4 linked regions of the Lepisosteus oculatus genome follow. The protein of the gene in region 1 purifies or fractionates together with the protein of each later gene. This does not show direct contact. Links are inferred from orthologs where the notes say so. Each region holds a gene or a part of one and is shown in the gene's direction. Other genes may lie near its edges. The genes, in order: ncl, npm3, mybbp1a and rpl8.

Evidence for each region.
Region 2: the proteins of ncl (region 1) and npm3 fractionate together in Homo sapiens (co-fractionation; 4 studies listed by BioGRID and IntAct, with this or other methods). This does not show direct contact. The link is inferred for Lepisosteus oculatus from reciprocal best matches to the Homo sapiens genes NCL and NPM3.
Region 3: the proteins of ncl (region 1) and mybbp1a purify together in Homo sapiens (affinity purification with mass spectrometry; 3 studies listed by BioGRID and IntAct, with this or other methods). This does not show direct contact. The link is inferred for Lepisosteus oculatus from reciprocal best matches to the Homo sapiens genes NCL and MYBBP1A.
Region 4: the proteins of ncl (region 1) and rpl8 purify together in Homo sapiens (affinity purification with mass spectrometry; 3 studies listed by BioGRID and IntAct, with this or other methods). This does not show direct contact. The link is inferred for Lepisosteus oculatus from reciprocal best matches to the Homo sapiens genes NCL and RPL8.

The regions. Positions count from the first base shown.
Region 1 is NC_090708.1:8,866,454-8,874,283, forward strand, and holds the start of ncl (nucleolin), read left to right. Parts: upstream 1-4,813; 5' UTR 4,814-4,961; coding exon 4,962-4,979; intron 4,980-6,057; coding exon 6,058-6,162; intron 6,163-6,436; coding exon 6,437-6,545; intron 6,546-7,121; coding exon 7,122-7,235; intron 7,236-7,601; coding exon 7,602-7,727; intron 7,728-7,830. UniProt on the Homo sapiens protein: Nucleolin is the major nucleolar protein of growing eukaryotic cells. It is found associated with intranucleolar chromatin and pre-ribosomal particles. It induces chromatin decondensation by binding to histone H1.
Region 2 is NC_090699.1:45,170,111-45,177,676, forward strand, and holds the start of npm3 (nucleoplasmin-3), read left to right. Parts: upstream 1-4,545; 5' UTR 4,546-4,682; coding exon 4,683-4,761; intron 4,762-5,576; coding exon 5,577-5,662; intron 5,663-6,331; coding exon 6,332-6,451; intron 6,452-7,566. Other genes in the region: oga (protein O-GlcNAcase), read left to right, coding at 373-509. UniProt on the Homo sapiens protein: Plays a role in the regulation of diverse cellular processes such as ribosome biogenesis, chromatin remodeling or protein chaperoning. Modulates the histone chaperone function and the RNA-binding activity of nucleolar phosphoprotein B23/NPM.
Region 3 is NC_090721.1:11,357,274-11,364,278, reverse strand, and holds the start of mybbp1a (myb-binding protein 1A-like protein), read left to right. Parts: upstream 1-4,004; 5' UTR 4,005-4,089; coding exon 4,090-4,281; intron 4,282-5,478; coding exon 5,479-5,574; intron 5,575-6,254; coding exon 6,255-6,338; intron 6,339-6,755; coding exon 6,756-6,830; intron 6,831-6,965; coding exon 6,966-7,005. UniProt on the Homo sapiens protein: May activate or repress transcription via interactions with sequence specific DNA-binding proteins. Repression may be mediated at least in part by histone deacetylase activity (HDAC activity).
Region 4 is NC_090710.1:4,226,557-4,233,932, reverse strand, and holds the start of rpl8 (large ribosomal subunit protein uL2), read left to right. Parts: upstream 1-4,374; 5' UTR 4,375-4,461; intron 4,462-5,745; 5' UTR 5,746-5,751; coding exon 5,752-5,889; intron 5,890-6,913; coding exon 6,914-7,055; intron 7,056-7,153; coding exon 7,154-7,372; intron 7,373-7,376. UniProt on the Homo sapiens protein: Component of the large ribosomal subunit. The ribosome is a large ribonucleoprotein complex responsible for the synthesis of proteins in the cell.

The DNA.
Region 1 (7,830 bases):
CACCCTAACTTGTTACATCAGTTCATGTCCAGACCAGAGGTCATTGGAAATTCGGGTCTCATCTTAATTTTCAGACCATTTTAGGAAGGACACTTGTTATTAAAAATATGAATGTAGCATAGAAAAGACATCTTTATAACTGTATGTAAATGTAGAGCAGGAAACTTGAATAAATTTCGTTATTAAGAAAAATCCTGCTGCAAACAGGATGCACCCTTTGAGACAATAATTTTCTCAAATACACTAGATTGAACTGAAACTTATACATTGAAATACAGTTATTTGAAGAACCCGACAAATACTGCGAAGGTAAGGATCATGGGGCGCTAAACTAGTGTAGCTTGTGAAACACTGCTGCCCTCTTGTGGTATTAAGCTGTAATAGACGTGCAATTAGTCTCTAAAGAACAGCAACGGAAACACTACCTCTCATATTGTTCTTGGAAGAAATCACAATAATACAAACAGGATATCTTTCCAAACCTTTTTGAGACAAATAAAAAAGTTTGTAATCTTCAAGACAACATTTCATAATGTCTGGATAATTTCCCCACAACAAAGTTTTGGGTATATAAGCTGATGCCAGCAGCCATACCACCCTGCAACTCAAACTGGCAACCCCCTGAAGCTCAGCAGGTGTGAGCCTGGTCAGTACCTGGATGTGAGACCTCCTGGGAAAAACTAAGGTTGCTGCTGGAAGAGGTGTTAGTGGGGCCAGCAGGGGGCGCTCACCCTGCAGTCCACGTGGGTCCTAATGCCCCAGTATAGTGACAGGGACACTATACTGTAAACAGGCCCCGTCCATTGGATGAGATGTAAAACTGAGGTGCTGACTCTCTGTGGTCATTAAAAATCCCAGGGCGTTTCTCGAAAAGAGTAGGGGTGTAACCCTGATGTCCTGGCCAAATTTCCCATTGGCCCTTACCAATAATCCCCCTCTATGAATTGGCTCCTCCCCACTGACAGCATCATCCAGGTGGGGACTACACATTGGTGGTGGTGGAGGGGAGTCCCCATTACCTGTAAAGTGCTTTGAGTGGAGTGCCCAGAAAAGAACTATATAAGTGTAAGCAATTATTATTAGATTTTTTAAACTCTAATAATTTTTAGGTTTTTGTGTTTAGTTGATATGAAAAGCTCATAAAAACAATTAAATAATTTCACCGCAGAGCAAGTTGGATCTATCTCTCTCACCACGTACAACCTGATGTATTTGTTTGATATGTCCAGTGGATGTTTAAATGTGCTGCTTTAATGGAAACTGTCCATGCATCTAGATGCAAAGAGCTAAATACACGATTAACTCAATTTTCACTTTAAAAACAAAAAGTGCCTGGAAATATACTGTATCCCAACAGAATGGATTAGTTTAAATGTACTTTCACAAAAAGTTCTTACTTGAACTTCAGTCTAAATTGAAAATCTTGGGGGTGATATGTGATTCAGGCTTGACATTTGACCCACATGTGCAATATATTGTCAAAACATCCTTCTTTTTCCTCTAAAATATCACCAGACTACATCCTATGTTATCACTTACTGTAGCTGAAAAGCTGATCAACACGTTTGTCTTCTCCTGAATTGACTACTGTAATGCTCTACTCGCTGGGGTTTCTAAATCCACATTGACCAGGTCCAATGACTCCTATCCTGGAGTCCTTGCACTGGCTTCCTGTCAAGTTTCGAGTCGACATCAAAATACTCATGCTCACCTGTAAGGCTCTGCATGGCTTGGTACCTCAGTACCTGTCTGAGCTATTATCGCCCTACTCCCCACCTCGCAACCTTCACTCTTCTAATTCTGGTCTCCTAACTGTCCCCCAAGCCCGTCTACACTCTATGGGTGACAGGGCCTTCTCCTGTTCTAACCCCAAGCTCTAGAATTCTATCCCCAAGAATATGAGAGTCACCTTCTCTAAACTCCTTCAAATCCAAACTCAAAACGTTCTTCTTTAGAAGTGCCTTTACTTTACTTAACTGTTTCTGTTCTTTACCCCTCTGCTCCTACTGTATTCAATATCCACCATCTACTGGCTCCTCTCATTGTGCATTTCTTGTGTACTTTTTATTGTTGTTGTCGTTCTGAAAAGCGGTTTGAGAAGTCATCTTTAAAGGCGCTATATAAAATAGTTTTTTATTAAAAAAATAAACAGTCGTCAATTAGCGCCACCTGGTGGTCTCTTGAGAGATGTTAAATTTGCTTCTAACCGTTGAGCCCAGTACATCAGACCAAGCTCATTGAGCAGAATTACATACATTACTCCAACATAGTACCGCAACCGTTGGAGGAATCTGAAGACCACCTAGACATAATCAAACACCAAATTCTTCGTACAGGATTAATATAAACAAAACGCCATGATTTAATAATGATACACTATTTAACCTTAAAATAAGCGAAAGCGGCTTCTCAACCAGGAATTCACAGCGTGACTCTCCTTTGAAGGAGAAGGTGACAACTAAAAATCCTTGCTGACTAACACTTCCTACATAACAGCCGCTGGGTTATTTCTCCCCCGCAGATAGCGATTCAGGCATTTAGGACTGGGGAGGTTTACCAATAGCGCAAGGTTTGTACACCTCTACACCGTTTCCTCGCCACATTCAAATCGTCCAACCAAATCTCGCTCTTTCAAGGTCCCGCGAACGTCATGACGAAGATATCAAACTCTCGCGATATTTCATGTCAAGGCTTTTGGTAGGGAGTTTCGATATCCCTTCTTATATTACACGTTTTCACACCCGGAAAGGTAACAGGGCAGCCATATTGCTGCGGTATGATTTCGCTTAGAGAGTTACAGTAGGTAACATGACCAAAACGCTGATGGCCTTACATTATGCATTATATATTCAGTCAAAAGCAGTAAATGCAAACAAGTTCATTTTGTACGTCTGAACATTTGACATTGGTTTTACACATTACCGTCACTAAAGTGCCTGCCTAACGTTATGTAGCTTGTGCTATCCCTCTTGTGGGTCTTACCCAGGTACAATTAAGCTAAATGTAAATCGAGGACCGTGAGCATTTCAATTTGTATCTAAGCTGATATTCTGTTTACGTCAATACTTTTCCAAATCTTCAAAATGCATCTGTCCAAACGTCACCTTTAGATACTATTTACTTTTAATGTATTAATTTCTACTACATTTTTTTATCGACCTTATCTTTTATTCTCCCAAGTATACCTTACACGTGTTCTAATCCATTAAGTGGACCTACTGTTCCGGTTATCATTTCGATTGTTTGAATTTAAGTACATTGGTAATTCAAGAACCATTAGCGATTTAAACGAAGGGCCTTTCTTCGGGGTGTAACAGCAGCGTAAACCAAGGATTTGAAACCAGAACTCTCAAATCCACAGCGATCATTACCGCCAGCAATTTCTGCCCTGTTGCAGTCATTTTTACACACAAAAAGACGTGGTCACAATGACAGATGATGGAGGTCCAGTTATTTTGACTTGGTGATTTAATGTAGGACTGTGAGAAACTTTTTTTTCCCCTCAAAATTCAGATTTTCGTGTTACCAAGACCACATAAATTACCCGATCGATCTGTAGCTATCCATGACTCAAAACTCTCTGCTCATATATATTCTTCTTGTATTTCATGCATTGATTCATTTGTGTATATAAAAGTGGGTATTGTTTTATTTAGCAGATCACCGTGCACGTTAATTCGATTCTACATTACAAGGCTAAACTGTATTCTATAAGACTGTCTTATATTTATCGTCATTATTTTTTGACGTTAGACCTTAAGGTAGATATAAAAATAACAAGGAGAATGCCCTGAATCTCGGTGAGCATCCCCTCCTCGTGTTGAATGAGTTTTTTTTTTCCTGGAAGAAAAACAACTGAATAGTAATATCGTGAAACTATATAATTCATGTGCATTAAATTGTAACCACTGTATTTTAATTTTTCGCCCTCCTTCTTCCATTACCCCGCATTAAAACTCGTTGTTTTCCAATACCAGACATTTCACAAAATCAAAACATTTCAATCACTTTAGAACATTTCACTAATACAATACCTTCGGGAAAAGAAAACTTTACAAGCCGTACTGTACTTCTGAAGCTCAAGGCTCCCTGTTTTGTGCAGCCATGCTACCCTCTGTCCGTGATCGATTTAAAATGGGTGTATTTTGAAACACGTGGTGGCCAAACACTAGAAGCACATGGGACGCCACTGTTTCACTCCCATTGGGTGTCTGTAAATGGGATTTGCTTGCGGGTGGATATTATGTATTTACTGAAAAGAATAGCCGTTCCTATGTATGTTACACTTTGCGTTTTTACTTTGTGTTTTTGAAGTATCACTAAAAACTTGTTAGAGCTCATGTGCACTTTAAAGTCACATGGGTGGCCGGCACTTTAGGTTTAATGGGCTGTGAACGGAACTCGAGATACCGGTACAATCCACCGAGAAGTCCAGTACACAAAAAAAGTTAATATTTTAACAGGTTTTATCGTATTTAAATTGGAAGTTTTTTTCTCATTCATAGTTTCAACTAAATGCCAAATGGTTCGATGAAATTGAAGCTTAAAAATATGTTTCTTTATTTAAAAAAAACAAACAAATTATATCAATCCAGACACGAGTATACACCTATACAAATTTCACACTAAAAATACATATTACGAATACTGTGCAGTACTAACTAAATCCACTCTCGTCTCTTCAGGGCTCGGACAAGCGCGTTCACGAAAACCCCAGAAGCCGAGCGCGATGCAAATTCCTGCGACCCGATTGGCCAAGAAATAACACGTGGGCGTGGAAGGTGGAACGCGCACAACAGTAAAGCACCTCGCGCTTCTTCCTGCGAGTCCGTCTTTCTCGTCTCAGCGCCTCACCGAAGAGCAGGGTTAGGCCACGTGTGGAGCAGTGATTAAAACTTGCATTAGCTTTTTCGTTTTCCCGATCGATCTTAGTCGAGTAAACAACCCCGCAGACAGTCAAGATGGTGAAACTGGCGAAGGTAAGATGTGATTTTCATCGCCGATTTCAAAATATAAAGTTCGAGGCGATGGGTTTGATGTACAAAATGGCACTGGAGATGTGAGATTTTGTTCCTTTCGGTTTGCCTTGCCCGAGCATTTTTTTGCAGCGGATGAATGTTTTTTTTTATGATTATGCGGGTGCAGTCGTGTTTTGGGGGTAACGTAGGGGGTTATTAGTTTCCGGATGAAAGACGGAGCACAATGGAAGTGCGTTTTGGTGCCTGTTCAAGCCGACCCAGATTTCGAGTAATCAGCCATGTTTTTCTGCGTGGTGAACTCTTGTTTCTCAAAATGGCCATGCCTGCGCATTCGCCTGCGAGCGCGGAAGCTGTTTTTTTGGTTTATCGCCTTACTTGATTACATTTGGGTCTTGTTTGAAGCAGTAACTCCTCTTAAATGTAAAATATAACTCCTAGCAGCGTGAGCGCTTTGCAATTTTGGTAAAAAAAGGAACTTTCCAATTTGGTTGCGCTTTTATATTATGATGTGGGGAAAGAAACAGACGACTGTTTCTTAATTGCTTTATTTCTGGTAATGATTAGAACCGTGATCGTGCTATATGTAGTTTTTCCATTTATGTTTATTTCGGGTTTGTATTAGCTGGATATAGTTACATATGACTAGGCCTCGCGGAGCACCACGTGGGTTTTCAGCGTGGAGCCATCACGCAGTCACCACGACGTGTGTCCGTCGAGCGGTTTAGACATTAGTAGTTGGACATTGCAGGCTGTGTGCTGAACATTACCTTTTTTATTTTTAACTATTTTGAGAAATTTAGATTCTAAACATGCTAGCAAAATAGTGTCTTAGAGAGGGAGCACGCTGTGGAGGGGACATGGCGGCGGTGGTTTGTACTACACAAGCGTAGTTTTTTTTTTCCGGTGACCCGACCATTTTCCGTATACAAGTACACAATTATTTCGATGTACAAACGGTTACAATATTTTTTGACACCCCAAGGCGATAAACAGTTTTTTTGCGGCCTATGAATAAACAGCGGATACCCCGCTGGGTAGTCATGCTTCATATGAAGTGGGTTTTTTTTTCTTATTTTAGGCAGCGAAAAAACCGACAACTACCCCTAAGAAAAAGGCCCCACCGCCCCCTAAAGACGTGGACTCCAATGAAGAAGAGGACAGCAGTGAAGAGGAAAACGAAGAGGTAAGAGCGACAGAGACTCGCCGCAACACGTGGGCTGAGGGTCGCGCTGTGTCAGCGTGGAGCCAAACCGGAGGTCGTGTCCTACACGTGCTTGTGCGATTCGGGCCCTCTTGTTTTGGAGTTGGTGGTTTCGCTGGAAGGTGTAAGGTCTCTTTGGACAGTGACCCGTGTCCTAAAACGGGGTTCGACTGGGAAACCCAATACCGGTTTAACAAAGGGCATTTCTTTGTGCAGAAAGGGGAATCATGTTTTTTTTTTTTCCTTTCGGCTTCAGGTACCTCCCCCAAAAGCCAGCGCCAAGAAGGCAGCCACGCCAGCTAAAGTAACGAAAGCCGCCAAAAATGGCAAAGTGGCACAGAAGCAGGAAAGTGATGAAGACGATGGTAAGTGATGAAACGCGTCTGGGAGCCTTCATCTTTCACTCCATGCATGTTATAGGGTGAAGTGGAAGTGCAAAGATCTGGACAGAGGCTGTTGCATTTGTTGTCAACCACCAGGTTTCTAAAAATGGTGTCAACCATGTCGGAAATAACCAAAAGCCAGTGTTTGGCAGGATTTAGTTCTTAACCTACAAGATGCTAGCTGCAGTGAGTGTTAATTAAGGAATTGGAAATGCCCAAATCTTAAATCAGCATTTAGATGCCAGCAATACACTTATCACTATTATACGAAGCGTAGTTAATATTTTGAAGTGTTGTGTGGAGTATAAAGATGGTTCCACTCAGTTGTTCCTTCTTTGTAGAGGCTTAGGAAGCTGATATACTTGCCTTTGTTGAGCCAGAAGGACAATATATTTTGAACCCCACTGCTCTGAGGTTTGCATTGGGGGGGAGGTATTCCCTTTTAGTTCAAAATGTTTTTTTTTTCTGAACGGGGGAATTTCAGCTGTGATATTCCCCTGTATTTGGTCCTGAGTACAGTATGCTGGATTAACTCTTGCGTAATGTGATGCTCTTCAGAGGAAGATGCCCCCCCAGTCCCCGCCAAGGGCAAGGCCGCCAAGGGCAAGGCGGCGCCCCTGAAAAAAGCCGCCAAAGCTAAGAAACAGGAATCGGAGGAGGAGGATGACGATGGTATGATCAGTCACGGTGACTTTCTAGCTGTCAATAACATCCCAGCAATAGTCTTAAGAGGGCAAGGGTGGCTCGCCAGTGTTTGGCAAGGAGCTGGGGAGAGGAAGTTAGATCTCTGGGTTCATGGTTTTAGATCCTGGATGGAGCACTGCTGTTGGACCCTTCGGTAGAGATGAGCAATATAAATGTTGTCCAGGTGGCATTTGTCCCCAGGAAGGGCCTTTTTGGGCTGGTTGCTGGCTAGGCCTCCACCCCTCTTCAGACCTTGACTTGGGGCTCGCTGACATCCCTGCCGGGGCCCTGATCTTAAACCTGCTCGGGCCGGTCCGAAGCCCGGGAGACTCCTAACCTGTTCTGTTGTCGCAGATGACGAGTCGGAGGAAGAAGCCCCCCCACCCAAGAAGGCCACCCCAGCAAAAGCCACCCCTGCCAAAAAGGCCGCCCCCGCCAAGAAGCAGGAGTCCGAGGAGGAGGAGGACGATGATGAAGATGGTGAGTGACGGTGCAGTGATTCAGGGAGGGGGTTTAATAGCCTGGGGTGGTCTTGAGTTTCCAAGGCACTTGAGTGTGTAGGGAAAAATGGCCTCTTCCCTCC
Region 2 (7,566 bases), on another chromosome or scaffold:
AGTAAAAATGTTATATTGTACTGGCTTTGGTTAAAAGCTTTGATTTGTGTAGGCTGAAATTTTAGGAATGTCTATCAAGTGTCTTTCATCTGTCAGGGTGGTCGCACCTAAGTCACTCCTACTTATCACATAAACAAGGTTTGGAGTAAGACAGATATTGCAAACTATTTTCTTGGTCTTGTAATTATAAAATTACAGATGAAGTTCAGGGAGTTTAAATGAGACTGAAAAAACGTAAATTTTTGAAACTGAAAAGTCAATTCTGCATTAATTACATAGCAATTATAGGGTTAATGATGGCTCAGAAATCTGCGCTGAAATTTTAACAGCATAATTTTTTGGTGCTGACTGAAATGCCTTTTCTCTTCACAGGGTCCCATGGTGCCTTTTGTGAAGTGAGGCAAAACGATAAAAGAATGTTGGACTTCTACAGCAAATTGGGCTGCTTTGAAGTTGCAAAAATGGAGGGATTCCCAAAAGATGTGATTATTATGGGAAGGAGCCTGTGAACCCCAGCTGAATGTGAAGTAAATGAATATTGCAATGAAAACTGTACAAAGCTTCATTGTGAATAGGCCTACATGTTTGCCACAAAAACCACAAAAGGCATAAAAAGGTGTACATATATAGTACCACTACTATCAATAGGTGCAAGTTAGTGTTTTTAAAATCTGCCCTTAATTACAAAATGCATTTGTTAAATTGAAACTCCTCCTTTATTTGGGCTTTCCTGCAGTGCCAATTAGGGACATCTGTGCTTTGATTTGAAAGCAAGGTGCTACCACTGTCTCCACTGTTGTAATTTAAACATGTAAGCTTGACTGTGTGAAGGGTTTAGGCCTTTCTGAGTACTCATCTCCTTTTCATCTGCAGCAGCTGGCTTTGGAAGTGTCATCTTGTCTAACCTTCCTGAAATTGCTCTATAACATTTTAATGTTATTTTCTCTTAGTATTTTATGTGGAGGGGCACACGAGTTAAAGGCCTCTAGTGCTAGCAGAAGACCTTGAGATGATACACCTGGGAGCCTTCTGTGTAGTTGTGCACATGACTGATCTTGCCTGGCTTGGTAATTCTCAGTTTGAACACTGTGAGCTGAGCAATGTGGCTACACAAAGAAGTGAAAAATTTATGGTCGCTGGTACCTTTCTTCAGTTCCATGAGTGTTGCGCATCTTTGTGAATACATATGTAGCCCTTAAGCACAAGAAACTGAGCAGCAGCAGCTGCAGGAGAACATGGGTAAGACAGCAAAATGTTCTGGTGCTTTCACTTCCTGATGCCTTGAAGTGTGGTCCATCCTCAGAATCAGTAGTGACTTGTTAAAGAGAAAAGCATGTACTGCTTATGGAATGTAAACGATTTATACTATTGTGAGGTGAGTTTTGGTTGTGCTCAGTAAGTGATAGGGTTTACATTAAAAATGCATAAGATTGAATCAATCACTAAACATCTGTTCTGCTATTCTAGAATGACTTAGGCTGTTTTTCTATCTTACATCATGTTATTATTTGGAATTTGTATGTGTATATGAATGTACATAGTATGTATTTTTGATGGACACTTGCTGCAGAGAACCTTCAGAAGAAGGTTTCATTGTTATGTACTAAATTACAAATACAATGTGCAAATCCTTTACATCTAATAAATAATACAGATGAAGTGTGAAATGTGGTTCCTTGCTTCTAAGTTGTACAGAATGTTATATTTTTATTTTAAGTAAATGACCTGTCCCTCCAGTTGGGCCTGGGGCTTTGTAAAGACTTGAGAAGATCTAAAGATACCGTGGCTGAAGCTGACGTCTGTGACTTCTCTGTAGAGTAATTTATTTCAACTTCATCCTTGTGCCCCAGTACATGATGGCTATAATTAAAATCAATATCCACAAGAGAAAGCAAAGGATTATATTTTTTTATATCAAACTTAACTGCCAGTTAACACACTCATACTCATAGCCTACTAAGGCTTTTAAATATTTTGGTGGCACGAACTGTCGTAATATAGCATGCTTTTGTGCCTGATGTACGCTGATGCAACTTCATGCATTACTGCTTACTTGCAGAGGGGTGTTCACGGAGACTATCCCTGTTGCAAGTATATGCTTGTCTTTTACACAAAAGTGTAGTGATTTAAGGTATTAGTTAAGACCGTATTTGGTGAATGCTACTTTTAGGAATTAAGTGAGCTCTTTATGTAACTTTTCATGATATAAGGTTGATAAGTCCAGAAGAGCACTTACAGAAACAGAGCAGAGCTATTGTCTTGAGAGGGATTTGTTCTTCCTGCATATTTGAGGAAAATTAAATGTTGCAGAATTATCTTAGAAATTGTAATCCGTATACTTTTTCCACCATTTGAAATCTAGTGCAGTGAATTCAGACAATGTATTTGAGGAGGGATTATTCCTGCTATAAGGATGTCACTGATTTTCTCCATATCATTGTGGATTGGGATGACTTCAATTTTATACCCACCTTGAAAGCTTAAGAAAGGCATATTTTTCTGAGTTGAATTGAAGAAAATGCAATTATTTCTGCTTTCTTCCCGGAATTATGTACTGAAATTACATTACTTTTCTTTTTATGTAAAAAAAAACAATTATACATTTCAGGGTTTCTTTTATGTATGTTGACTACATGGTTGTAATCTAGTTTTATTATAGTGCTCACTTGTGTTTCATTACCTGATTAAACCATTAAGTGAAGACTGTATCACGAGGCATGGCCTTGTTCTTGATTTGCTAAACCTAAAGAAAATTCAGTAACACGTTTTTCACTGATGATCTCCTAAAGGGTACGGCCGATATGCTCTTAGGGGTAATCTTACACAGCGTAAGTTAAACTAGTGAACCATGTTTTAATTCTTAATGTGATCACCTAATGTAATTTCAATAAAAATATTTAATTTGAACCACCTCTACATCTCACCCATCCAATTGTCCAACTAACATGATTTAGATCAACCAGAATATAATTTGGCCATTCAATCAAAAATGTGCATTTTTTTCCTAAATGAACTGTTATATACAATGTGAGCCCCTAGCTTAGTGTTTGCCACACAAGATCTAATGTGTCCCAACAGTTATTGTAATGTCATAGTTTATCTCATTGTCGAGATGAAAACATTTCTTACATATACCTCTTCTGAGCTTAAAAAGTACTCATTCTTATTAAAGATTTGGCAGAGCAGTACCTTACCTATTACTGATTGTTACCTCAGTGTTGCCAGTTAGGTTGAAGCAGGATTGTCGTAGATTGTTGTACAATTATCATGGTGTAAGTACTAGAAGACTCTTTCACTGATCATATCTGTACTGAATAATGTTCATTCTGATGTGTTTTTCAGGTTTTTTATGGCATATTTCCCAGAACTAAATTGGAAGTATATTCTGTAGCACTACATTTTTAAAAAAAGGAACAATTTGGCTTCTAGAGTAAAATCATTTGCTCTGTCAACATGTTTGTTAAAGAGTGTATATGATTTATGTAATATTTGTATTTACTTATCATAGTTGGATTGAAATTAATTTAAATAGTTTAATGTTTGCACTAAGCTGTGAATCCCTTTACACTCTGCATTTTAATTCAACTTTTAAATGTCTAGTTTCTCCTGCAACCTAAGAGTTTGTAGTTTTCCTTTCTTAAATAGAAAGCAAAGGGGCACAAGGTCTTGACTTAAATCAAAGGAAATATTTCCTGTTTTATGCTGTGAGTAAGGAAGATGTGCCTTTTGCTTGGTATTAGTCAGAACTGATGGGCTGCCAAGAAGCTGCAACTTCTCCTTAATATAGCAAGACTCCAAGGAGGATGAATGCCTAACATGGTGCACCTCTAGATAATGTCCTTGGAGTGCAGATGGGGTGTCTTACCACTCCCATATCTGGGCCGGTCAGCACACACGAACCCCACTAGTTACCATTACTAGCAAGTGTGGGAAATGAACGCTCACTACAAACCTGTCCATGTAAACTCGACCCTGTGCCAGTCGCACGCCATTAGCTCTCCTTTCTGAAATGGACAAGAGCATCAAGGCAGTGATAATACGGGATTCAATTTTCAACTTGTTCAACAAAAGCGACCGTGGATCTGTTCCGTGCCTGCTGGTGGTACACAGAGCTTCAGGGCACTGCGACGAACCTACATTTTCAATTAACCTTTTTCAGTGTGAAAATGACCGGTTTTTGTCGGTTGACGATGAAACAAAAAACGCTTTTTTTCAGTTGTTGGAAGGACACGCACAACGTATTCTGGAAGCATTAGTCGATGTCTGTGCAGACGTTTCTGAGCTCAAGTGTTGTGCAAGTCTTTTACAGTTCGTGTACAAGAATAGCATGCAAACGTACGTCGTCGTGATTGTCTTTAGGGGGAAAACACAGTTACTGTGTTGATGGTAAGAATTAAACAGATTTAGCCCTGCTCTTAATCATGGTAAAAAAAAACTTGCAAATTCCGATTGCTGGAACCTTTAAGAAAGAGTACCAGCGCTCCAGCAGGCACCTTATGTAAGACGTGTGTAGCATGCGGGAAAGTTAATTTTGTGACACTCCTCGTCCTCGCTTTCCGCATGTTGATGACATACACTGTTCTGCGACACTGTGTTTGGTGTCGGCGTCCAACGGTAGATGTGGCTGAACTCGGAGACAGTTTTGTATATATTTATCTGATTGGAAGCCGTTCCGCTTAGAAATGTCGTTTGTGGACGAGGAGTGCTCGGAGAGCTGTAGCAGCGCCGGAGGTCGAGCTCGGATGGAGAGTTTCTTCTTCAGTGAGTGTTGTTGGTAAAAAAAAAAACGTGCTCAGTGCGCCAGCGAATTTGGCACACGTGGGGCGATGTGCCTATTAACCCAAGATACCACTGGAGTACAGCTCAGTTCAATACTAGTCAATGGATTCATTAGCTATTCCAAAATTATGTTTTTTCTCTTGCTCATTGTTTCTCTTGTGATAACGATTCTGCCCTCCGTAGCGTTGTCAGTGGTAATTACTTCTTACGAATATAGCATCATCGGGGGGAAAAAATGTTAATCAAAGATACCGTTTCCAAGCGAGATTAAAAACTCTGTTCTGTTTTTGTGCCGTGAAAACGCGCACACTGCACATAAGACTTGAGTCGAGAGCCACATGTTTGTTCGCCTCTCCATGTGGTGCAGTCGGGCTGAGCAGCTCCTTGACTTTAGTTTGCTTTGCTTGATTTGCCTTTCAGAGCGTTTTGATTTTTGTATATATACATGACTCGTAATCTGACGTTGTTATGTTTGTACTCATCTTTGGTGTTATTATTCCTGCGTATTTAAGAAAATAAAGGGTTCAAACAGTACTAGACGATCGACCCCTCGTGACTGTGAGATTCCCTGAATATCTCCAGGAAACTCTTGGTCGATTAGTTTCAGGCTGATGCGTCTCGCCGCGTAAAATGCCACCTGTACTCTGTTTAAATGTTCTTTTCCATTTGTATCCAAGTGTTCCCTAGTTGCAGGAGAAACCAGTAAAGCTCTTTGAAAAAGAATCATCTTTGGTGGACAGTAACAACATTATTGCATTCATCTTTGGTGGACAGTAACAACATTATTGCATCTCCAGGTTGTGAACTGTCGTCCAAAGCCCCTTTTTACACATTCCAGGGTGATGAAGAGGAGGATCTGGAGCAGTTCCTGGAGTTGCGCACAGTAAGTGGTTTTCCTCCCGGCCCTTCAATGTCTTAAAAGTTTCTGAGAACACCTTCCTCCCATGACAGTCAGTGAGCACCAAAAAGGACATTAAAAAGGATTTATCTCTCAAAATGTTAATTGACAAAGTGCTCTAATTGCAGAAGGCCGGGTTGGTTTTATTCGTAGGGAAAATGGCAAGGAGAGTTTTTTGGAGAAGATAATAATTCCTTATACTTATGTAGCACTTTTCTGGACACTCGCCTCAAAGCACTTCACAGGTAATGGGGACTCCCGTCTACCACCACCAATGTCCAGCACCACCTAGATGATGCGACAGCAGCCATGGTGCACCAGTACGCTCCCACACAAAGGAAAAGAGTCACATCAGTGAATGCAACTGAGTTATTTCCTTTAGTGTTCTCTAATGCAAAGTTATCCATTGCTATCTTTTATATAGGACTCAAAAGGCCAGTGGTTTCCTTCAGGGGTTACTGCATTGATGCAAGAGGGTCTCCATCATGCTGTTTAGATTGAAGTGATTATCACTAGAAAGAAGTGAACCTTCGTTGTGATTCTCAGTGACGGGTCTGGCAAAGAGATGTTTGACCTTTTCATTGTGGATCAAGGCCAGCTGGGCCCCCCGCCCCCCTCCCTGCTGCCCTCAGGCTCAGGTCTCTCTTTCCGCAGGTGTGCCTGGGCGATGGAGCCAAGGAGGAGAGCAATGTAGTGGAAGTGACGGCCCTGAACCACCATGGCAAGAGGGTGTCGGTGCCCGTGGCCAACTTGCACCTCTCTTGCCTGCCCATGGTGAGAACATGAGACAGGTCACAAATCAGAGGGGGCCATTTGGCCAATCAGGCCTGTTTGGTAGTTAGTAGTTAATTGGTCCCAGGATCTGGTTAGAAACTAGGGTATTGGCTTCAACAACAAGTACCACGCTCCCACCACCCTTTGTGTAAAGACGTATCTCCTATTTTCGTGTTTAAACGCACTCCCCTGTAGGTTGCACTTGTTCCCTCCGTTAAGAACGTAAGAAAAGGGCTGTGGCGATCACTCACGGCCTTCACTGGGGCTGGAATTGTGTCCTAAACCTAGTTCACAAGGGTAACGGACTTCTTAACCCTTTCCTAAACTGCAGTTATTTTTTGCATTTAGATGGCTGATTTAGAATTGCCCTGCTAGTTACTAAGCAGATACTTCAGAACTCCAAACATTATGGCTAGAATTAATCTTAGTGCCACTAGCCATTGTTGGAGGGAATGCGGGGAGAGTATAGCTACATATTTGCATGTCTTCTGGCATTGCCCTAAATTAGAAATTTACTGGCAATTGGTTTATCATGCTATAAATAACATTATAGACATAGATTTGCCAAAAGACACTGTAATGTCAATACTAGGGGTGAAACCAGAGGTTATTCATACAACAAAGCAGGCTTACTTGCTACAGATTGTACTAGAAGCTGCAAAAAAGGCAGTCACACTAAATTGCCTTAAAAAGAACCCTCCAACCTATGGGCAGTGGTTGTAATAAAATAGATTTATCTGATGGAAAGGATTACCTTTTTATTGAGATTGCAGATGAGTAATTTTACTGAAAAATGGAAGTCAACTATAGACAAGGTAGCGGGACCATGGGACAAATTAGTATAACTTAAATCTCGATGGAGAATAGCAGTAGTAACCACAGGTATCAGAACAGTTCTTCCCCCAAGTTAATAGAAATATGAAAGTAATTATGGAAAAGTAAGACTCCGGTAGATCACAGCAATATTATCAAGCTCACCTATTTATCTTGTATGTTTTTTTTTTTGTTTTTCTTGGTAGGTTTGTTTGTAATATCATTGAAATGAATGGTGATCAATTATATCATTGGTATTTCTAGTGAAAATGTACATACATGAGAATTTAATGCAAGATATA
Region 3 (7,005 bases), on another chromosome or scaffold:
TGTGGGAATGTAGGAGTGCTTATATGCCCGAGTGCGAATCGTGACAGGCCCACCTACCCATTATTTTGGCTACAATGGTTAGAACAAGAGATCTCAGTGACTGTGAGAGAGGGGCTGATTGTTGGGGCATGTTTAGCAGGGGCTTCAATGCTGAACATGCTGATGTTTCATGAGAAACAGTGGTTGAGGTGATGTTGGCATGGGAGTCTGAGGTAAAGGTGTCATAAACGAGTGGTGTGAGACTGTATGGTCTGTCGAACTTCACAGAGAAAGGATGCAATGTTTGGGATGCAGTGCAAAAACCACATTGTGCCTAAAATTGAAAATGGGCAGTGGTCTACTGAGCAGTGGAAAAAGTCATAAGGGCAGATTAATTTTTCTTCACCCTGATCTCAACAAGTGGATGAGTACATGTTGGGCACACCAAAATCCGACTACAGGCTCAAGCACTTGTTTCCCCACGGTGAAGGGGGCACAGTTTAGGTCCACTTAACCCCTTAGAGGGCAAGGAAGCCATCCTGATCGATCAGTCCACTGCTGAAGCATTTCTATCCTGATGGGAGTGGACACTTCCAGGATGACCACGCTCCAATCCCTGGGGCTTGGGTGGTCACTGAAGGGTTTGATGTGCATGAAAATGCTGCACTCTGTATGCCATGGCCATCCCAGTCACTAGATCTCATGGAGAGGAGCTTGAGACACCATTTTCCCCACCACCATCAACAAAACATCAAATGATCTAATTTCTCATGGAAGAATGTCCCAGACACTTGTAGAATCTATGCCAAGGAACATTAAAGCTGCTCTGGTGGTTAATGGAGGCCCAGAGCCATGTTAAGATGCTCATGTTGGCGTTTCCTTTATTTTGGCAAATTGTATATACTGTAGAATTCTAACAGACTGAAATCAAGACATATTTTATTTTACCTTTATTTACACGTAGCAAAAAATCACCAATCTGAAAACCAAACACTCTACTTTGGAAAAGTAATTCCATTTAGAAAAATGAGTTGGATAAGTGAACACGCCCCTGAGTTAGTACTTGGTGGCAGCACCATTTGCTTGAGTTACAGTCATATCATTCTGTTCTGGATAGGTCTGTACCAACGTCTGCCCATTCCTCCTTACAGGACTGTTCCAGCTCAGTCCAACTGAGAGGACACTGCTGATGGACTGAACCTCTAAGTCATTCCACAGATTTTTAATTGGATTAGGTCAGGGTCTCTGACTCAACCACTCAAGGATGTTCAGGATGTTTAGGCAAGGCTAATCTTTTATAAGATCATGATGATTGTTTCCCAGTCCCTGGGTACTACTCCTGTCTTAAGTGACTGTTGGAAGAGTTGCATCAATGGCTTCTGAATAATACATGTATTGTACTCAAGGAAACAAGATCTACAACAGAACAGTTGTTAAAAAGGTGAAGACCAGTCAAGAAAGTTTATTTGTGGATTAACACAGTGATATGTACTTGGACACTGCTCTTTTACATTAAATTTGGAGAAATAGCAAACAATGTGGAAGAAGCAAATATAATTTAAAGAGCTTTAGATACCTGTAGACAATGTACTACTGTAATGCCACTAGGGGGTGTCATCCCTGAGGCACAGTACAGACTTTATAGACTCCTTTGCATGCATAAAGATGGCCACATGAGAATGCCAGCACCTAAAATGGTGACACAGCCTATACAAGTTGCCTATACAAGGTAATCAAGTTACTATACAGCCTATACAAGATAATCAAGTAGCTAGCAGGCACACCTGCTGTAAAGGATGGCTTGCAGACGATAGGTCAATATGATACAACTGCTTTGCTTTGCTAGATGTTAACACCTATTTATATAATCCTGAGGTAGAATTGAACTATGAGATGACCTGAAGCTAAGTGAATGAATGGTATTAAATGAGGTAAAAGTGCCCTGTATCAAAGGCTGTCCTGTATTATAACTGTTGTGCTATTTCAAAACAGGTAAAAAAAACACTGCTATAGCTGAAGCCTGGGGGGAAAAAATGTTTATGGACAGACCAAGAAGGAAGACAGTGAACACAAGACCCGAGGTTAACCAACAGAGTTGTACAAAAGGTTAAAAAGAAAACAAAAGGAGAATAAATGGAAAACAGATCACAGGCAGGAGGTCACAGAGTAAAATGCAGACTTGGCAAAGCCAGTTTAGATTGTGATCTTGGAGAGATTTTTTGTTATAATTTAAATGAAAGAAGGCATTGAAGAAAGAATCTAAAATCCTATATATATATATTGCAACAAAGCATTTAAGTGATAAAGCAAATATGTGTATCACCAGCTGGGAAAACCATATCAGTATCTAAAAGAGACACAAAGCACAGCTGCAAGGTACAGACCGAACACTCTTTATTTATAGCACTGAAAATCTCACAAAATCCTGAGCTCCTCAATAGTCCCTCACTAACAAAACCAGGCAACTAAGCTCCTTACCAGTTTCCAAAACCATTTCGGCTAAACTCTTCACTAAAGCTCAGTCTCCCTCTGAGACACTTCATAAAAGTCACATTCAAAGTTACTCACTGTTTCAGCATTTTGGTCAGATGCTCCTTCTACAGCTGGTCATTCCACACACAAACTCCATGTTTTCCAGAAAGCAGGCAAGGTTGACCTAGCAAGCTTCCTGTTTTTGAAAGTGTCATCTGACCAATTTGTCTTCCAGCACCTGTGAGCCAGACAAGGGCCTCCATCTTGTCTGAACCTGTTGTACTATCAAAGGCATCATGCAGTAGAGGTGCTTGTACTCACAGCTCCACAGTTCCCAATAGGCTCCCAGTCCCTTATAAGATGCAAAACTCTTCCAATGCTCCTTGAGAGAAGCAGAATTAAAGAATACATTAAAGGGTCCATAAAAACGAAGGTAGGAATCCATACTGAAGCGATAAATAATGACACCTTTCCCAGTAACACGTTTGGCCCTGCTGCTTTAATGAGGGAAAAGACTGAAGCCCAAGTCACTGACTGACGTTTAATGGAAAGAGAAATCAGAGTAAGAGATTGAGCCATTAATGTGAGGGACTTGAAATTCTGCGGAGCTGAACCATTAATTGTGTATTGTAAAAGCATTTTGGAGAGAGAAATCGGCATTGGTTGCATTTAACGTCAACCAGACAACTCTGATAATTCATTATGAAGCTACATCTAGGTGTTTTTGTTCATGGAATATTATTTTAGATAAGAGCATCAGAAAGGCAACAGATAAGAGAAAGCCATCGAGCTCAGCTTTCTTTTTCCACCAAGGAAGGGTGTTCCAGAAGCCCACCACTGTCATCAGCCACTGTGAGAAGCCCAGTATTTCCTATTATTATATATTAACAGTTTTTGTTTTGCTGCCTACACTTGTCTACATTAAATGCCACCTGTGAATGTTTGCCCAGTCTTTTTTTTTCCCCATTGTGCAGTATTAGTTTGTTTCCCTGCGTTGGAATTGCTGTGGTTTACCTAGGGGTGTACGGATGGTACTGTGGGGAGTGTAGTGTAGTAAAATATTTTGAAAATAGCAGATCAGAATGGCAAGTCAGCTTTCTCGAATGCTTTCTTAACATAATTAGCCTTGTAAAAATTTAAATTCATTAACTAAATAGTGGGGAAAGTAGAGTGAGCACTAGTGTAAAGACTCTGGATTATTTAAAACATAAAAATAATCAAACCTAATGACGAACCCTATATTCTCCACAGAATTAGGCATTGGGAACTGTAACATTCCAAAGCTATTATAAGCAGCTCTCTAGAAAGGCAACTCACATATATCATACCCATATATCATACTTAAAAGATCCTTTCCACGGTAGAAAATGTGAACTTCACTTTTGCACTAACTATACCAAAATCTCAGTGACTGATAAAAAGCAAATGTTATATCTTTCATGAATGGAAAAACAATGTACGAGGTACCAAACCTTAAAATTCTGGAACCCTTATTCTGTGGATTAATTTAACACGAACCTTCCAGCCTGCTGCACGCTGAGCGATCTTCCGATTGACCGGAACACGTGGGTTCCTGCTACAATGCGATCGTTGCTGTAACACGTTTTCTGCTGAAGTGCTGCCGATATTGATATTTACATGGCAGCAGCGGTTGCTAGCATGGGGGAGATAGAAACCGAGCCGGTGCGGCCCAAAGTGACTGATGCCAAAGGAATCCTCCAGCAGAATCGAGAGTTCCTTGATTTTTTTTGGGATATCGTGAAACCGGAGCAAGAAATACGATTAAAAGCCATCGAAGATCTGATCTGCTATCTGAAAAACAGCGAGAAGGTAGGACTGTAATGATTATTTACGTACATTGCTATAATAGGTTTCCTGGGTTTTTGATAGAATTAGGGATATATTTAGGGGGCAAATACAAATTAATTTTAAAACAAAATGTTCAACGAGACTTTTCAGGAGTTTTGTGCATACACAAGACTTTCCAGACTTGGTTTAACCACGTGGGTTTTGGTGACACTCATGGGCTTCCTTTGGCTCTTGATAAAACGTCTTTTTAGGACCTGCTATAAGGACCTTAAAATGTAGTAGTTATGCTAAGCGAATCAGCAGCGTGTTCTTAAAAGTTTGCCCAGAATCTCAGTTGTTAAAAGAAAGGTGATTTTTATTTTGTTGTTTTTGATTACTTGTCAATGCTGCGAGACATTTGATATGTCTTTGCTTTGTGTGCATTTTATTTTTGTGCATTTTTAATAATGTTACGCAAGGTTTAACATACGTTTTCAGCAGTTTTATCATTTCGATATTTTTTTCAATTCATGTTTTTATTTCTGTGTTTGGTTAGGAATTTTGTTTATTCCTCTTGCATTCTTATTATTTGATAAACAACGAGCTTTTATTAAGAAGCTTGTCGAGGACTGTATTTGCAATGAATAAATAATTGACTCGCCTAACCCAGTGAGTAACGTTGGTTAGCTATGCATTTTCATTGCAGGAATGTTAAAGAGCTGATGGGGAATGATTTAGTTTGATGCCTTTGATGTCAAATTAACTTTGTACAGTTTTATACAGCTTGGAATGGTCTTGAATGAACTTTGCTTAATGGTATAAGAGCACTATCTCACCCAGGGCGTGAACTCACAATTATTCAGGTACAAGTCTAGAGGTCTGACCACTCCTGCACACTTCAGTGGTAGTGTTTTATTTAGGCAGCATTGCTATTGTGGAGGAGTGGTGAGGAGGTGTTTGTGGTTCAGATCCTAGTGGGACACAGCAGTTGTACCATTTAGCATAGTGCATCCCTCAGATTTCTCTATTAAATTGCCAAGTTCTTTACATTTGGACAAAAGTGTCAACCAAATAAAACACATTATTCTTCCTTTTTATAGTTTGACCCTGTAGGTCTTCCCATGCGGAAATAATTAGGTACTTGTTTTTTACATCTGGGTGATCTGTGCCCCACAAAGGGTCTCTGGGTGTGAGTGTGATGGGCTAATCTTCTCTTCCCTCTTTTGCTCTCCCTCCCAGCCGGATGAGCTGAAATACACCCTGAAGCGACTGGTGGACGGGCTGTCCCACACTAGAGAGACTGCGCGGCCTGGCTTCAGCTTGGCTCTGGCCCAGGTCAGTGTCCTCCACAGCTGTCTCTGAGTGTGTGTCAGGAAATGAAGAATCACAGCTTAAACATCGTGTTAGAACCTGTTAGTAGGTAAAAAACAAGTAACACGAGCAGTGCTTCTTACTGCCAAGTTAAAGAAGTTGTCCAGCACTGAACAACATAAGGATGATTACTTAGGAGAGGAAGCTATTCTACCCCATTTGCTAGGAGTATGATCCAAGGATCCCATCCAGCTGTTTCTTAAAGGATGCCAAAGGATCACCTTCACATGGCTGGGCAACCTGTTCCATAACTCTTAAGAGTAAAGACCTGTTTCCTTTTTTCTCTGTTTTAAATATGCTTCGACCTAATTTTCACTGGTATCCTATGGGTTACGTTACAAATACAAGTAAAACAGACTAGAAAATAATCACGCTTGTTACAGGATAATTATACATGACTTAGAGTTCGAGAATTTCCAGCCCGAATGCTCGGCCACCTGAATTCTTTCTCTGCACCCTGAAGATGTTTTTTTGTCCTGCAGCAGAAGGCTGTGAGAGTGTCTGAGCTGTATGGAACTCAAATGCATTTGCATTACAGTTACATTGAAATGCAACTTGTGTTTTTCAACAGCCGGGTTCACTGTGATGATTGTGTTGTACTCTTTCATAGTAACCCAGACATAAACATATGGTGTTTATTGCAGGTCCTGCAGGTGTTTGAGGAGATCCCACTGCAGACAACACTGGACCATATTAAGGAAAAGAACAACCTGGAGACAGTGAAGAAGGTCAGGAAACAGTCTTTCCACACTCCCGACTGGATACCTAGAGCTCCCAAGTACCACATTCTTGCCATGGAGTCCTCTCCTGTCCATGGTCTCCTGATCTGATGTAGATGGTCTTCCTAGCCATGGAGATGTCTGGAAAGTTTGTGGAAAAATTACATTAAACTCTAAAGTATTGGGACAGAAATGTCAACTAAATACTGAAGAAAAGGTCTAATTAAATACTGACGGTCTTAATGTGGAAAGCGATGAAGATGGCTACGTGTTCTCAGAACGGGTTTTAGTAATTAGTAAACCTTCTGCCAGCTTCTGAAAATTAGGACGTTTTATTGGATTTTAAGACTTGGGAAACGGGTAGATCCAGCTCTGTTGCCTTGGTTATTTCTCTGATGGCCTCACCTGATTTTTATTATTCCTCAGAAACTCAGAAGAAATGCTGCATTTGGGAATTTCTTCGGAGTGTTGGCTTTGTCCCAGTCGGGACGCCTCCCTAAGGTAACTTAAGTTTTGGAAAACGCTGTTGTTGAGGGCTGTGTATTCAGCTCACTAGAGATTGAGCTCATGGGGGAGTGAGGTAGTTTCCCAGTTTAATACACAAATGTCTCAGGCCTGCCTGTGTGTTGCTGACAGGAGCCCAAAGTGGTCCTGGAGTGTGTGAAGCTGCTGCAGA
Region 4 (7,376 bases), on another chromosome or scaffold:
CCCGGAGAGTCCCAATCCACTTTATTTTTCTTACTGGTCACCCTAATCACCTGTTATTTAAAGATTTGGAATAACTCATTCAAGCAGTTGCTCAATTCGGCAAGTAGTGTTGCAAAGCAGGAAACACTGATTCGTGAAGGCAGAAAGATATTCTGATTGTCGTTCCAAACGACCTCTCGCATTTCTTCATTGAACACACCTTCTGTTTAATGTTGATTAGCGTTAAATTGTTCCAGGGTGAGTGAAATCTGCAGGCGTGGGGCTCTCCAGGACTAAAGATGTTGAGTGCTGTCGTAGCCTACAGCCCTTTCCTATTGCTGTATTCCTATAGCCTGGGGCTGTAAGAACGCTGGGTACAGAATCGGTCGTTGAGGAGCTGCTACAATGGACATGTCCAAAAACAGTGCATCACAACAGGCCATACTGCAGCCAGCTGGGACAAGAGCCTCTCTCTTCACCCTCCCAACCCAGGACATATATGCACGCGACATATTTTAGCAACCTCTGTATTGCGTGTAAATACATCTTTGCTTATGCATGTTTTTTCTAGAATTTTAACCCTAACATAAACTGAAGCATTCAGCTTCCTGTTTGAATAGCCTGGACAAATCATTAAACGTGTTAGGCTATAAATATTACAATACAGATGTCAGATAAATCTTCACAAGACTTGAGTATTGACTTGCCACGACGTGTTGAGAAGTAATTATACTGTAGTCTTTACACTGCATGTTCTGTGCATGATTTTGACCCTGGTGCCAGATGCTGCAGCTCAATAACCATGCAAAGTTGTTGTTTTTTTTTCCCTACACTGGGAAAGTCTGAGCTAAAAAGGACAAAGACTGAAAGTAAATGGGGCCATGGGTGGTTTACTTAGGATGCCCAGGAAAATGTTGAAAATGATCTGCAATAGAAACAAATGGGTTCATGAGGAGCTGATGTAACTGAAGTATTGTACACTGAATTGACAGTCAGATGCCTAGTTTAGTACTCTGCTACACCTTGCACAGGAGAGGCCTGATAAGGCTAACCTTGGGACCTGAGCAATGATTTGCATGACCAGCTTATCTGTAGACTTCGAGTCAGTCATACGCATGTGTGGCACATTAAATGTGGAAGCAATTAGCACAGAACCTGTACCAAGACCTGGCTTCACAGCTGCTGTGTTAAGGTATTTCAGAACTGTTTCTCTGTGACTTGGCAGGCTTTTAAAAATGAATGAGCATACATTATTAAAATGTGTAACCTCACTGGAACTCTTCTGTAGGTGTATAATTCAGTTACGAACAGAATGGTGCAGGATATTCAGGCACAGATAAGGTCACTGATACCACACTCTGAGTAGTTATTCACTAGTTCAGTCGTCTTCATTTATATTGTTAATTAAATTACGTGACCTTTTAAGAGTTTATTGAATGTTGATTCATCCAAGCAAGCAGTAGTAGACTAGAGATTTCAGGATAATGAACGCAGTTCACATGAGGTGAAAATATCCAGAACTACAACGCTTTATATGTGTAGAAATCAGTTGAGAGAGAAACTGAAGAGGAAACTAATGTGTAGAGTATATTTATAATACCTGAATATTTTTGGTTTCCCCTTCTTGTTTTTGTCATGCAATGCCTGTGTGTTAATGTCATGAATCTCTTGTATTTGCAATACAGACCTGTCAAACCCTGGTCTTTACACATGTTTAAAAGCAGGATGCCTGTCATGTGGTCTAGTAGTACAGAAGTCTGTGAGGGTTGTGTGATAGTACTTCTGGAGACCACCTATCTACTTTCCCTGCTGGACGTTCCATATACATTCTTTCCAAATACGTCTCTGTTCCTCACATGACTTTTATGGTAACAAAGGAAGCCTTCAAGCTCTGTCTAGGGTGTAAAAGGCACCTAGAAATGCCTGAGCTTTAGATCTGAAGGAAGGAAAGGATGATGGTGTCTCTTCTCTCAGCTCTCTGGAGCGACTTTTGTCATAAACCTATGTCAGAACTACACTCAACCGCGCTGGGATTTCTTGCAATCCGACAAACCCTTAGAAAGCTGCCTCATTTACACTCTCCTTAGCAGCAGTTTCAAACCCAGCCGTGTAAGAACACAATCAAGGTTATACCACAAAGTTTAAGACAATACTCATTGGCTGCCCCGTGAGTGTGGGGTTAAGTACCCTAATTTCTCCTCCTGCCAAGGTCAGCCAGGTGTGTAACCCCACACAGAAAGATGGAACGGGCACATGGACCCCAGACAATGACGTGGATCCCCAACAAGCAAAACAAAACTGTCCAAAAAAAACATCCACTGTAATCGTGTAGTGATTAATGGTCACGTTAACAGACAGGGCAGCATTGATCAAAACCTCCGTTTCTGCCGGCTCATCCTGACATGACCGCATCCCAGCAGGACCAAGCTTGTCCTGGTGCTACTTGGCTTCCCTTCAAGATGGGAACGAGACACTTGTGTCGTGGACAGGTCCAAATAAAACAAAAGTACAGCAAACTGATTATTCATCTTTTTTGTCATTAGTATTACAATGACTGTTGTTGTGAGAGATTTTTTTAAAGAATATAAATTGTTCAAGGCAAAACAACTCAGGTTCGAAGATACTGTACAGTTTGGTTATACATTAGTAACTCAAACTAAATTCAAAACTGGGAACAGAAAGTGTTTCTTTCCACAAAGAGTTGTGGGAGTATGGAACAAGTTTCTCACTCAGATGATGCAGTGGCTCTGTGGCTAAGGCTCTTCTCCTTTGGCTGGAAGGTTGCTGGTTTGTATCCTGCAGCCGGCAAAGGAATCCTACTCCGTTGGGCCCATGAACAAGGCCCTTAACCCCAACTGCTCCAGGGGCGCCATATAAATTGCTGACCCTATGCTCTGACACCAAGCTTCTCTCCCTGTATGTGTCACATGGAGAGTAAGTTGGGTTATGTGAAAAAGGACAAATTCCTAATACAAGCAATTGTATATGGCCAATAAAGTGATCTTATCTTATGTAATTGACATAAATACCCAGCATCTTTCAAGAAACAGCTGGATGAGATCCTTGGATCAATTAACTAATAAGTACCAGACAGGCTGGATTGGCCAAATTGCCTCCTCTCATTTCTTGGATGAAGTATTACACAATGCAGTGCAAATTTTGCTCAGTCCTTTCTGTTTTCCATTAATCAAAATAGACTAGGGCAGTTTTCTTCAGCTCTGGTCCGGAAGAGCCATGCTTAGTATTTTTTCGGAAGAGCTTGGAACGAATTAATTGGATCAGTCAGTTGTTTAATTAGTTGCTCTCAACATCTCTGCTTATTGGCCATTTAACTATGGTTTATAAAATCTACAGAACGGCAGCACCTGGATGTGTTTCATATTTTGAAGCACTTAAGGTGCAAAAGCCTTGCATATACAATTCATTTTGTATAAAAAACCGGTAGAACTTTTTAAATAACGCACAACCATAAGGGCAGGATACAAAATCGATTAACATCCACTTTGGTCTGAAAAATTATCTAGTGTATTTATGTTAATTTACGTAAATGAGAAACTTGTCATTTTCTTATGTTCCGAATGTAAACTAACACTGGCCAGGTTAACTAATCAACTGCCAGACCAATCCTGGTGAGGCTATGGACAGGGCGACTGTTTTGAATGTTTTTAACCTAAACTTAATCAACTCCTATAATTACTGATCACATCTTTAAGTCTGTGTTGTTGTTTTTTTGTTGCACTCATCAATTAAATCATACAACTAAGCTCTTCACTGTTTCAGCCAGATGATCAGCATTATCGATATGATCTGAAGAAAACTGGCATTATTGCGATTCTTCATAAAACATTGCAAAACTCTTTCAATTCAGATACATTATAGCTATTGCCGATTAACGTTTTTAGTCAGATAAATGAATGATAACTCAGATTCGAGGATATTTGTTAGAAAAAAACATTTTAAATAAAGTACAATACAAAGCGCACGATGTAAATTCGATTGACGTATTTCTGTCATTTGCAGGCTCACGTTAGTAGTAAAATATATTTATGTGAATATGAATACAAAAGTGATTAATTGGTTTAAAGCGGATATTTTCTAATGACCTACATAATATGTTCCAAATATCCTGTATCTGCAAATGTTCTGCGACAGTTAAAAAATTGTTTTGTTGATGTATTACCGCAACATAATTAAAACGTGTGTGTCTGAAAGGCTCAGTTCAGCAGTCTTGCAGATGTGTGAACTACATATCCCATGATGCTACGCATAGGTAGTACTTAAAATATCCGTGTTACTTGCTTTGTAGTATTTTATACTTCTTGATTAAAAATATTTTATATAGTACAGATATCTGCGATTCGTGTTAATTTGAATTATTTTCGGCTCGTTTTAATGATATCCTGTTCCACGGGAGCGAATATACCCGGAAGAAATGCGTTGCGCCGGCCTTGGACTTCCTTTTCGTCGACAACCCAGGTCTAGGTAGGGAATGGCGGCCTCTTTCTTCACATTAAATCCGACTTTAATCTCTTTATTTTTTACTCATCCGCTCTAGTTTTCTACGTTTATACTACTAATAAAACCTGTATATTTGGTATACGACTGCAAGTTGTGCCTAAGGCTGTATCTTAACGTTTTTTTGTATGATGTGTTCAGTATTGGCCCTAACCGATGAAACAGTCTGCTTGTCCTGTAAATGTCTGGAAATAGACGCGTGTCTGGGATAGGTTTTAACTGTTACATTAAAGCATTACAAGAGGCCGTATTTACACCACTGCAGCTTTAATATTTTTTGTGACAGGAGTCCACTTTATCTCAGACGCCGGGATCTTTAGGGTTATGCTGTGACTGGGAGAATGTGAATCAAGTCGCAACAAAAGTGGGGTGGTCATTGAGAAACAAGTGCCTCGTGAATATTCTGTGGAAATTCACGGTAGCCGTGTCCCGAGCTCAACAGTGATTATTGTATAATTAGTAATGAAACTAATTACTCAGGATTGCAGCATGGGCGTCAAGCGGTTTCATGTGCTCTCCTACTTTTAATTGAGTGAAAGTGCGTTTCTCGAGCTGCAAAAATGCCGTGGCCTTATGAAGTCGTAGTTCGCAATAAAGATTTTGAATTTCATAGGGGATCATATAAACTCTTTCAAAGTGACCCTCCTAACCCCCCATGCCCCCATGCAGTTTAAACGATTTCATATTGACATGCAGTACCTCTGCTTGTCCTCCTTGATCATCTCCTGCCCTGAACCCTCAGGCCTGCAGACGCATCAAATCTGGAGTTTTATTTCTGGCAAATGTTTTTCTGTTCAATGAATGTTGTGGTCTCCGCGGATTGGAAGGCCTCCTTGAATTCGGGCCCATGGTAGCCAGTCCTACCAGCACTGCTAGAAGAGATTGCAGTCCATATTGGTCCATCTGTACCTTCATGTTTTGCCATAAACACCTTATTTTGACTTTATGTTGGCCTGATCTGGCTGTTTTGAAATGCATCAGTATCATGCCCTCTCTTGCTCACTTGTGCATTGTTTTGTGACTTTGTTTATACAGTGTTACTGTCAGCTTTTACAGCCAAGGTGCAGTAGACCTTTAATCTTTCTAATAGATCCCGATGCCAAACAAAAGGTGTTTTTTTGCTCAGTAACAGTCCCAGGTGTTCTGGGCCTGCCGCCGTTCTGATCACCAAGGAAAACCACTAGAAGGCAAAACGGGTCAAGCTTGGGCATCTTTGTCATTCGGTTCTGTTGCTCTTCTTCCTGCGTCCAGGGCACAATGGGTCGCGTCATCAGAGGCCAGAGGAAGGGTGCTGGGTCGGTCTTCAAAGCTCACGTCAAGCACAGGAAGGGTGCAGCAAAGCTCCGATCCATTGACTTTGCTGAGCGTCATGGCTACATCAAGGGGATTGTGAAGGTGAGGAGTTTGGGGAGGAACTGTACACTTTCTAGCTTCAGATAATCTCAAGCCACTTTAATAATACCACCAATGTGCAGCATCCACCTGGATGATGCAACGGTAGCCATAGTGCGCCAGAACGCTCACCACACACCAGCTATCAGTGGGGAGGAGAGCAGAGTAATAAAGCCAATTCATAGATGGGGATTATTAGGAGGCCATGACTGGTAAGGGCCAATGGGAATTTTATTTTTAAATATATCTATGAAGTGGGTCCCTTATATATGTATATAGCAGTGGACCCACTTCACTTCTGAGGTATGGATTTCACAGTGGACTAGTGTCACACTACCACTGTGGAACCATCCATGGTTTTAATAATAATAATTATAATAATGGCTCACACTTATATAGCGCTTTTCTGGACAATCCACTCAAAGCGCTTTACAGGTAATGGGGACTCCACCACCACCAATGTACAGCATCCACCTGTACACAAAACCTCCACCTGTTTTCAAACATTTCATTGGATTCAGGGGTTTTAGTGATAAGAGTTCAGGTAGCGTTGTGCTAAATTGTTTTGTACAGTTTGTTTATTGGCGTTCTAAGTAATGTCAAGTCCTAAGGGAGACAAATGTGGCTAGACTTGGTCACTTTCTCCAGGACTCCAGCAGTCCAAGTTTAATATCAGAAGTGGTGAAAGTTTTTCTTTCCAAGCAGACTCGCAGCTTGCCAAACAGAATTCATTTCAAATAGCGTTGGAGGCCTACAGCATCCTGCAAGGGTATTGTAGTTGCATGGTTTTTAGAAGACAGTCAGGATGTATTCAGGTATTCTACTGAATGCTTATGGGGGTGAATAAGGATTGTTCTTCAGTAATTATGCTTTATGATTCCATAAAAAATAGGCAATCAGTTCATTTCATTAGTTGGCTGCCTAATGTCGGCACATGTGCCCTCGAGATGCAGGTTCGGTAGTGGAGGGTCTTCAAGATTGCAGGTGGCGGCCTCGTCAGAGTGGTGTGTTCTCTTTTCTCTCCCAGGATATCATTCATGATCCCGGCCGTGGGGCCCCCTTGGCCAAGGTGGTCTTCCGGGACCCTTACCGGTTCAAGAAGAGGATGGAGCTCTTTGTGGCAGCCGAGGGCATCCACACCGGCCAGTTCATCTACTGCGGGAAGAAGGGTGAGGTCCAGCGGGGCTGCGGCACATTTCGCCATTTCAAACGGTGCAGCCGCAAAGCGTTCGCTTCGAATAACGTGCCCTTTCCCTGCGGTTCTCAGCTCAGCTCAACATTGGGAATGTGCTCCCAGTGGGCACCATGCCCGAGGGTACCATTGTGTGCTGCCTGGAAGAGAAGCCAGGTGACCGTGGCAAGCTAGCCCGTGCTTCTGGAAACTACGCCACTGTCATCTCCCACAACCCCGAAACAAAGAAATCCCGAGTGAAGCTTCCCTCCGGATCCAAGAAGGTCATCTCCTCGGCCAACAGAGCTATTGTTGGTAA